2 linked regions of the Oryctolagus cuniculus genome follow. The protein of the gene in region 1 purifies or fractionates together with the protein of each later gene. This does not show direct contact. Links are inferred from orthologs where the notes say so. Each region holds a gene or a part of one and is shown on either strand. Other genes may lie near its edges. The genes, in order: NCOA4 and FTL.

Evidence for each region.
Region 2: the proteins of NCOA4 (region 1) and FTL purify together in Homo sapiens (co-immunoprecipitation; 3 studies listed by BioGRID and IntAct, counting the BioPlex papers as one, with this or other methods). This does not show direct contact. The link is inferred for Oryctolagus cuniculus from reciprocal best matches to the Homo sapiens genes NCOA4 and FTL.

Annotation. Positions count from the first base shown.
Region 1 is NC_091446.1:82,699,297-82,703,830, reverse strand, and holds the start of NCOA4 (nuclear receptor coactivator 4), read left to right. Parts: upstream 1-1,475; 5' UTR 1,476-1,631; intron 1,632-4,534. UniProt on the Homo sapiens protein: Cargo receptor for the autophagic turnover of the iron-binding ferritin complex, playing a central role in iron homeostasis. Acts as an adapter for delivery of ferritin to lysosomes and autophagic degradation of ferritin, a process named ferritinophagy.
Region 2 is NC_091449.1:8,287,889-8,291,495, forward strand, and holds FTL (ferritin light chain), read right to left. Parts: upstream 1,824-3,607; 5' UTR 1,723-1,823; coding exon 1,621-1,722; intron 1,485-1,620; coding exon 1,338-1,484; intron 1,019-1,337; coding exon 893-1,018; intron 798-892; coding exon 645-797; 3' UTR 517-644; downstream 1-516.

The sequences.
Region 1 (4,534 bases):
GTGCCTCCGCCACTTTCTACTCGGGTTGCCTTGCCCCTTGTAGGAGCCGCCATGGAGTGGGACCCATAAGACCCCCTTTTGGGGGCCGTCATTGTGGTGCGCCGGTTCGAGTCCCAGCTGCTCCACTTCCTATCCAGCTCTCTGCTAAGTCCTGGGAAAGCAGTAGAAGATGATCCAAGTCCTAGGGCCCCTGCACCCACGTGGGAGACCCAAAAGCTCCAGGCTCCTGGCTCCAGCCTGGGCCAGCCTTGGCCATTGAGGCCATTTGGGGAGTGAACCCGCAGGTGGCAGACCTCTCTCTCTCCCTCTCCATAACTCTGCCTTTCAAATAAATGAATTAAATTGTTTTAAAGCTCCTATTACGATCTTCAGCTTGTCTGGGAAAAGTGGAAGCAGTTGGCAATGAGTGTGGAGCCCCCCCTAGGCATCTGGCTACAAACACACTCAGAATCCCAACGTGGTAATGCCACCCTGGGAAGCTGGTGTGAGGAGGCACTGCAGGGAGGCAGGGTGTTATATATTGTTAGCCATCACAAAACACACCGAATGCCGGAATAAGGGGAAGGGTTTATTGGGGAACATCCAACAGTCCGGAGTGAAGGGGCAGCGAAGGGAAAGAGAGGAGGAGACTATAAGAGAGAGTCAGAGAGGAGGGAGAAGAGAGATGAGAGGAGGAGAGGAGCCAAGAGAGGGGACAAGAGAGAAGAACCGAGAGGAGAGCGAGCAGGAGAGAAGAACCAAGAGACCAGAGGAGGAGGCTAGAGACAGGAACCAAGAGAGCAGGGAGCAGAGCCAAGAGAGCACGTGTGCAGGAACAGGCCCTTTTAAAACTTTGCCCGAGGGCGGGCAGGGAAGCAGGAGCAGGGAATCCCATTAGGGTGGGGGTGGAGCATGACAACAGAAGTTGGGCCATGTGGCCACCTGGCTTTCAGCCATGGTGGCAGGGGCTAGAGCCTGGGATGTAAATCAGGGTATAGATCGCGCCATAGATAAAACTAACATAGATAACACCTAACACTGGGTGTGCAAGATGGCCCTTAGGGAGCAGCTAAGCATGCCTTGGGAGTGGTTCCAGGGAGTTGGAATTTGGGCTGATATTAGCTATTTACCCTATGCCCCTCACACAATAGCTCCCCACGCTCTGCCTCATGGAGCCCCTGGGAACCATCATGCCATGCTCCTTTCTGGCTCTAGGAATTTGCTCTGGTTTCTGCATGGGAGTGGAATTACACAACTGTCCACCTTTTGTGTCTTCTCACACTTTTGCATCTCAATGAGAAAGCCTGTGAGGGCATCTGGTGAGAGAGAACCACTTAGGATCCCATGCTGGGTGCAGCATTTGCCTTCAAAAACAAGAAACCTTGGCGTCATTTAATTTGATTTATTCGGCGAAGAAGTCAAAGGACACTCTAAGGGCAGGCAGCAAGGGTGCATCTGCGCTCTGCGGCCTCTAGAGGGCAGCCAAGGGCTTCGGGCAGAGCTCTCGCGAGAGTGTCAGACGGGCGGCGAGAGGCGTGGGAGTAAAGTGGCGTTCTCGCGAGAACTCTGTCTTTTCAGCCTCGGCTTCTGTGGAGCCGCGTCTCCGTCAACCCAAGCTCGCGTCGGATCCCCCGAAAAGGCGCTCGCAGCTGGTAAGTACGGGAGTGGCCGGCGGGGCGGGAGCGCCGGGGGTGCGGTGACCGCTGGTTTGCCGGGCTGGGCCTCCTGCCCGCCGCCGGCCCGGGCCTGGCTTCCGACTCCTCCGTGCGACGTCTCCGGCGCGAGGCCACCGTCGGGGCCTGGCCTGGCCTCGCTGGCCCTTGACGCGCCCTCCCTGGGGCTCCCGGTCGCTCAGGCCTGGCCCCGTACCCCCAGCCACCCTCACGGCCAGCCCCTGCGGTGACAGCCCCTGGTTCCCGGTGCTCGGGTCTGGGTCTCTGGCCCAGAGCCTGTTCACGTGAGCCTAGCTCGTCAGGTGGAAATGCAGAAAAAAAAAAAAAGAAAAGAAACAGTGGTTTCGGGGCCGTCTCCTTTGCTTCTCCCCCACATAGCGGGGTGACCTCGGTCCGTGTCACAGCCGAGGAGCAGGGCGTGCTGCGCTCACTCTGATTCACGCCGTGGAGAATCATTTCTTCAGGGCCCGCAATGTTCTGGGTGGAGAGGTTACCAGCGGCGAAGAGAACCGGACAGCCAGATTCCTGTGTCCGGAGCAGTCACAGCTCCGTCCGCGGCCTCGGGCCGTGGAGGTGGCACGGGGGCCGGGGAGGGTGGAACGGAGTGACTCCCCGTGTTACTTTCCAGTCCGGGGAGCGTCCCCGCGGGTCACTGCCTTTGGGAAGCCTGCTTGGTCGTTTGGAAATCGGAAGCCAGGACTGTTGGAGGTTCCTCTCCTGCCTTGGGACTCAGGCAGGCTACTATGCTGGCTCGTTTGGCGATTGCCAGCTTGCAGGTTTGTTCATTTGAGTGAGAGAGAGATGCAGAGTCTAGCACAGTTGACTTCTGCCCCGACTCTTCTGTGGCCGCGCCTTTGTCCTTGGGTGTCGGGGTGGGGAAAAAAAATCTTTGGTATTTCAAGTTGTATGATGGTTTGTGTCTCAGCGAATCTCTCCAGTTTTGCATTGCCTTTGGGCGAACTGGTGTTTCGAAAGTGGAACGTTGGGTGGGGTCAGGCCGAGAAGAGGTGCAGGAATTCGCGGTTTGGAATTAGGTAGCACCCTCCACACCTTTCCCGTTGTATTAAATCAGCTGCGCTGCAATCTCAAAAAAGGCTGGGGGAGGGGTTCAAAACACTCTGGGGCTTCTCCCGAAGCGGGCGCCTTCCCCCTTTGAGAGTCTCTTAGTATTTTCTAGAGCTTTCCTCTGTCATGTGGGAGGGCCCTCTGCAGAGGTCCTGGTGTTGCACCTGGACTGGTAACGCCCAGGCCCTTATTCCAAATAATTGGTTACTTTTTGCTCTATCCTTGGTGAATCGCTTCTCCTCTAGCTGGCAAGGTCACACCATTGTATTCTCAGGGGCTGTCACAGTAAGTCAGTCATGAGCTTAAACACTCGATAATTTGAATGAGGACATAAAACCTTGGCCTTCAGTGAGTCATTGATACGTGGTGCGGCTAGGAGCTTTTGACTCGGCTCTGTGATTAAGTCTTGGTGAGCCCATTAACTTTTGCTCTCTTCACCTTAAATTTCTAACAAGTCTCACCCTCTGGAGAGCCACCAGCGGTGAGACACTGGAGACCTCTCACAGGCGCAACCCAGTTGCCCCTGGTCCGATGGAAGGACCCGCCCACCCAACAATGGAGGGGACCCGATCCCCTGACAACTATGGGAAGAGGTTTCACTTGAGTCTTTCCAGAGATCGCTCCTCAGCCTGTGTGTATACCGGCCCGAAATGTCAAACCCTGGACCCCAGTCTCCAAAGGCTGACCCTCTAACAGCCAACCTCAGCACCTTTCCCTAAACAAGCCACCCATGAAGAGACAAGGAAGAGGCCTGCCTCCTCCCAACATCGGGTGACATGGAGGACCTCAAGGGTCTGGTGGACCAAGCCCAACACCTGTCCCTGACCCCTAGTCCAATGGGCCCGCTGCTGGTGGTGCTGATCTGTGCAGCCCTGATGTTAAACTCAGGCCGCCGGTGACCAGGCTGGGTTCCAGGATGGGCCCAGTGATTTGTCTTTCTGTCCGGGCACACAGTAACTGACTGGACCCTGGGACCAGCCCTTCAAGGATGCAGTCAGGCAGCTGGTAGAGCGGACTAAGAGGACCCTTGGACTGATCATCGCTCTGTTATACCCATTGTCACTGCGGTAGCTGGTGCAGCTGTCGCCACCATTTCCCTAGTCCAAAGTGCACCGGTGAACAACGTCACTCAGCTAACGGCCACTCCCCTGTTTACCCAAAACCAAGCCACCGGTCAGATCAAAACAGCGATCCTGGCCTTAGAACAGGGGTTGGATTCACATCAGAAACAGATTGAACTGTTTTGGCAGACCATGCACCCCCAGTGTGACGTTGGCTTCACAGATGGTTCTGTCTCCAGCGTGCCTGTCTTAGACTGGGAAACTTGGTCCCATACCTTGTCAGCCTGCATCGGGGCTCTTGGATGGGCAGTTTTCTCAGGCGCTCTTCAGTTTAACCCAACAAATTCTAAAGCTTGATGCTACCCGCGTTTCTGACCTGGTAGTCACCACCTTTACCCAGGGCCTGGGCGATGACTGGTGGGGACCCGTGAAGTTTTGCTTACATCTCGACGCGTTGATTATTGCAGAGGTGGTTATTGTGGGTTGTGGCTTATTGATTTTTTTTCCCCCATGCCATGCTCAGCAGAAAGGCTGCTCTACTGGCTGAGATTTTGGCCATATTGTCTGTCCTAAAACAGAGGGGGGAGATGTGGGTGATCCTGTGCCTGCCTAGCCCATGCAGGGGGTTAAGAGGGCATGGCACACCATGTCCCGTGGGAGAAACCCAGGTCAAGGGCTCAGCAGACTGAGACCCCCATATATGACTTGACTGCAGGCAGACAGCAGGGGCCCCGGGGCACATTTCCCCCCCCAAGG
Region 2 (3,607 bases), on another chromosome or scaffold:
TCCAGCTCCCGGTTCACTTCCTCTGCTCCCGCAAAGGGAACAGGGGTCAGAGCTGACCCAGCAGACGCTTCTAGAAACCCGCGTAAGCTGCTTCAGTTCCCCTTTGGAGACTCTGGGCCCGGGTCGCACGTCTGGTTCCTGTGCTGAACCCCAACAGCATCACGCGCCCCTGCTCCTCCTGACCTGTCTTCTCGGTACGTGCCCTGCACCGGAGTTACCCCGGCGCGGGCGCAAGGAGCAGCAGCCTTGGCCGGCCGCTCTGGGCTGCCCGTGGTGAAGGGTCACTCATTGTTTACCTGCCTTTCAGAGCTTGGCCCGCTGCCTGACCCCATCACCGCCCAGGCTGCTGAGGCCGAACAGGGCCTTGCTGCCAGCCCTCCCTGAACCTGGCCCGACCCGCTGGGCAGGGCAGTTAACGGCCAGCCGGCCTGGCGGACCTCTCCCCTGCCAGCCCACTCCGTGGAGCCCTGAAGGTCCGTTCCGCCGCCTCCACCGTAATGCACACCACAACCCCATGCTGCAGCAAGAAACTTTATTTCCGTTTGGTCCCAGGTTTGGGAGAGGGTTCAGGGCTGTGAACAAGCTGCCTGGCGGCTGGCAGGAGAGCGCGGGCAGACGCGCGGCGCCGCTGGCTCCGGGCGCCCCTAGTCGTGCTTGAGCGTGAGCCTCTCGAAGAGATACTCGCCCAGCGAGGCCTGGGGGCCGCTCAGGCGGCGGATGTTGGTCAGGTGGTCGCCCATCTTCTTCAGGAGCTTCACCTCCTCGTCCAGGAAGTGGTTCTCCAGGAAGTCACAGAGCTGACGGAGAGAAGGGGAGATCAGACGGCGCACGGAGGAGGAAGGCTCACAAGGGAAATCAGCCCAATCAAAGGCGCGGTGGCGGGGGCACTTACGTGAGGGTCCGTGTGGGCGGATCCCAAGGCATGAAGGTCCAGGAGCGCCTGGTTCAGGTTCTTCTCCAGGGCCAAGGCGGCTTCCATGGCGTTGAGGGTCTTGCCCCACTCATCCTGGGACGGCTTCTGCACAAAGGACGAGGGGCTCAGCACTGGGCCCAAACTCCACTTTCCCAGCAGCCGTCGGGGGCCGGGGACGCTCAAAAGAGGTGGGCGGGCTTGTACTTACTACCCCCACCCTCCTACAAGAGTCGCCTCAGGAGACCACGCAGCGGCCCGGACCGCGGGGCCCTCAGGGTTCACCTCCTTTTCCAACCTTAACGACTCGCTCACGACTGAACTCAATCTCCCAGAAGGCCGCGCGACACCCAGCCGGCGCTCGGGCTCCGGTCTCGGCGCGCGCAGCCCGCCGGGAGATGTAGTCCGCGGGCCGCACACCAGGTACCTGCACGTCCTGGAAGAGGGCGCGGCCTCCGCGCTGGTTTTGCATCTTCAGGAGCCGCTCGGCGGCCTCGCGCTTCTCCTCCGCCAACTCGCGGAAGAAGTGGCTCACGCCCTCCAGAGCCACATCGTCGCGGTCGAAATAGAAGCCCTGCGGGAAGACGCGAAAGGAAAACCGTTGGCGGGAGGCGTGCGGGCTCCGCCCCCGGCGCCGCCGCGGGACAAAGCGGGCCCGCGCACGCGCAGTTGTGTGCAACTCGGGTCGGGGGCGTCCCGCGGACCCTCACCAGAGAGAGGTAGGTGTAGGAGGCCCGCAGATGCAGATTGACCAGGTGGTTGACGGCAGCCTCCACCTCGGGGGAGTAATTCTGACGGATCTGGGAGGTCATGGTTGGCGGCGGTGAGATGACCACAGAACCGCGGTGGGCTGGTCCCAGGAGCAGGAGGTGGCCGAGAGGTGGTCCCGGAGCTTCTGACTGGAGAGGAGGTCGGAGGGCGGTCGAAGCCTGTGAGAGAGTCCCCGGGCCTGTTCCGTTCAAACACTGTTGAAGCAAGACACAGGTCCGCGGGTCTCCCGACGCGTAGCTTCGGGCGGCTGCTTGGGCGGCGGCTTTTATACTCTGCTGGCCCTCGGGGGCGGGGCTCGGAGGGCGAGGGCTCGGCCAATTGGCGTTTGGGGGAGGCAGGGCCTCCGGGCGGCTTCTGACCAATCAGGCGCAGAAAGGGGGTCTCCGTCCCCACCCTGAGGTGGGGAAGTCACGCGCCTGTTGCGCGAGCCTGTTGTGAAATGGAGAATGGGGGTGGGGGTTCTGTGGCTGGTTCGGGGAAGTCGAGGGCTTCTGAGGGTCTCTCCGGGAGGTGAGAGGTTGGTGGGTGCCCGGGGAGCCCCTGGGGAGTGATGACCCTGTGGTCCTGGGGCTACCTCAGGAAAGCAGGGGTCTGTGGCCGTTTCTGAGAGCATGGAACTTTCTGGAACCCGGGGGGGGGGGGTCGTGCCTCAGAGCGCGGAGAGGACCTGCAGGCTGCCAGGGGTTTGTGCTGTGAGCTGAGGGGTCTCCCCGAGCAGGAGGGCTGTGGAGGGCTGTGGAGGTGGCTGTAAGCGAGCCCTGCGGATCTCTGGGAGGAGGGGGCTCCTGCCCTGAGGCCTGGGGGTTAGGAGGAGGTGGGGACACCATGGGCATCCACATTTAAGTCCTCCCCGGGAGGCCTTTAGGCGCTCCAGGTGGTCATTGATGCTGGGGCGTGTGGAGCCTGGGGTCGAAGTGGCGGGGAGGGGTCCTGGAAGTCTATTGGGGCGCGGGGGGAAGGGACGATTGTAAGAGGGGCCCGGCCCCTTAAGGCGCACAGAAGCCTGGGCTCCTCGGATGCCTTGGAGTCCGTCGGCGCCCAGCGTTCCTGGGAAGTGAGATGGGGAGAGTGAAACCCCCCGGGTGCTGGGGTCTCCCTGGGGTTGCGTTTCCTGGGGGGGCTGTTATGGCGGTAACCCAGAGACTTGGGGTCTCCCGTGGCCCCGGAGCAGTCTCTCTACAGAGGCCCCGTGTCTGGCCTGCCACCTGCTGCTTCTGCGTGTCCAGGAGACGCCTTGGGCGGCCGAGGGACAGAGGTCGGGGACACAGGGGCGGGGTGCCTGTCTCCCCGGAACGTGCATTTTTTTTAAACGCACCAGATGCATGTGGGTCTGGGAGTCAGGGGCTCAAACCAGCGCCCTGACCTCGGGGGAGGAGGAGCCAAGGCAGGACCTGGACCCCACTTAAGTGGCCCCTGGAGGCAGGCCTGGGGAGCCGAGGCCCCAGGCGCGGGGTGCAGGGTCAGGACCTGGGCGCTACAGCTCCTGGCCAAGGCGACCCCCAGGTGCTGGGCCCAAGCAGTATCTGGGGCCCTCGGCCTAGGCGGGTGACCAGGCCGGGATGTGCTGAGTCATGCTGACTCCGCGGGGGGAGGGGAAGGGGCAGTGGCCAGCGTCGGCCTTGGAGCTGCTGACTGCTTAAGACCCTTGGGACCAGACCCAAGGCCGCGCGCTCCCCCAGGGCGGCACCCTGTCTGAAACCGTGTGTGCGTTCTCGCGTGTCTTTGGTTCCCAGTGTTTTCCCTGGGACCCTGCGTGTGACCACGGTCTCGCTGGGCGGGGTGGCCACCCAGGCTCCCCTCAGCCCCCTCCACACTTACTGTCTGCCCAGTTTGCCTGTGGAGTTACTGATTCACCACATTTTCCACTTTAGCCTGAAGACCTTTAGCCTCAGGTAGGCCTGCTGGCGAAGAGAGGACTTTGTTGTT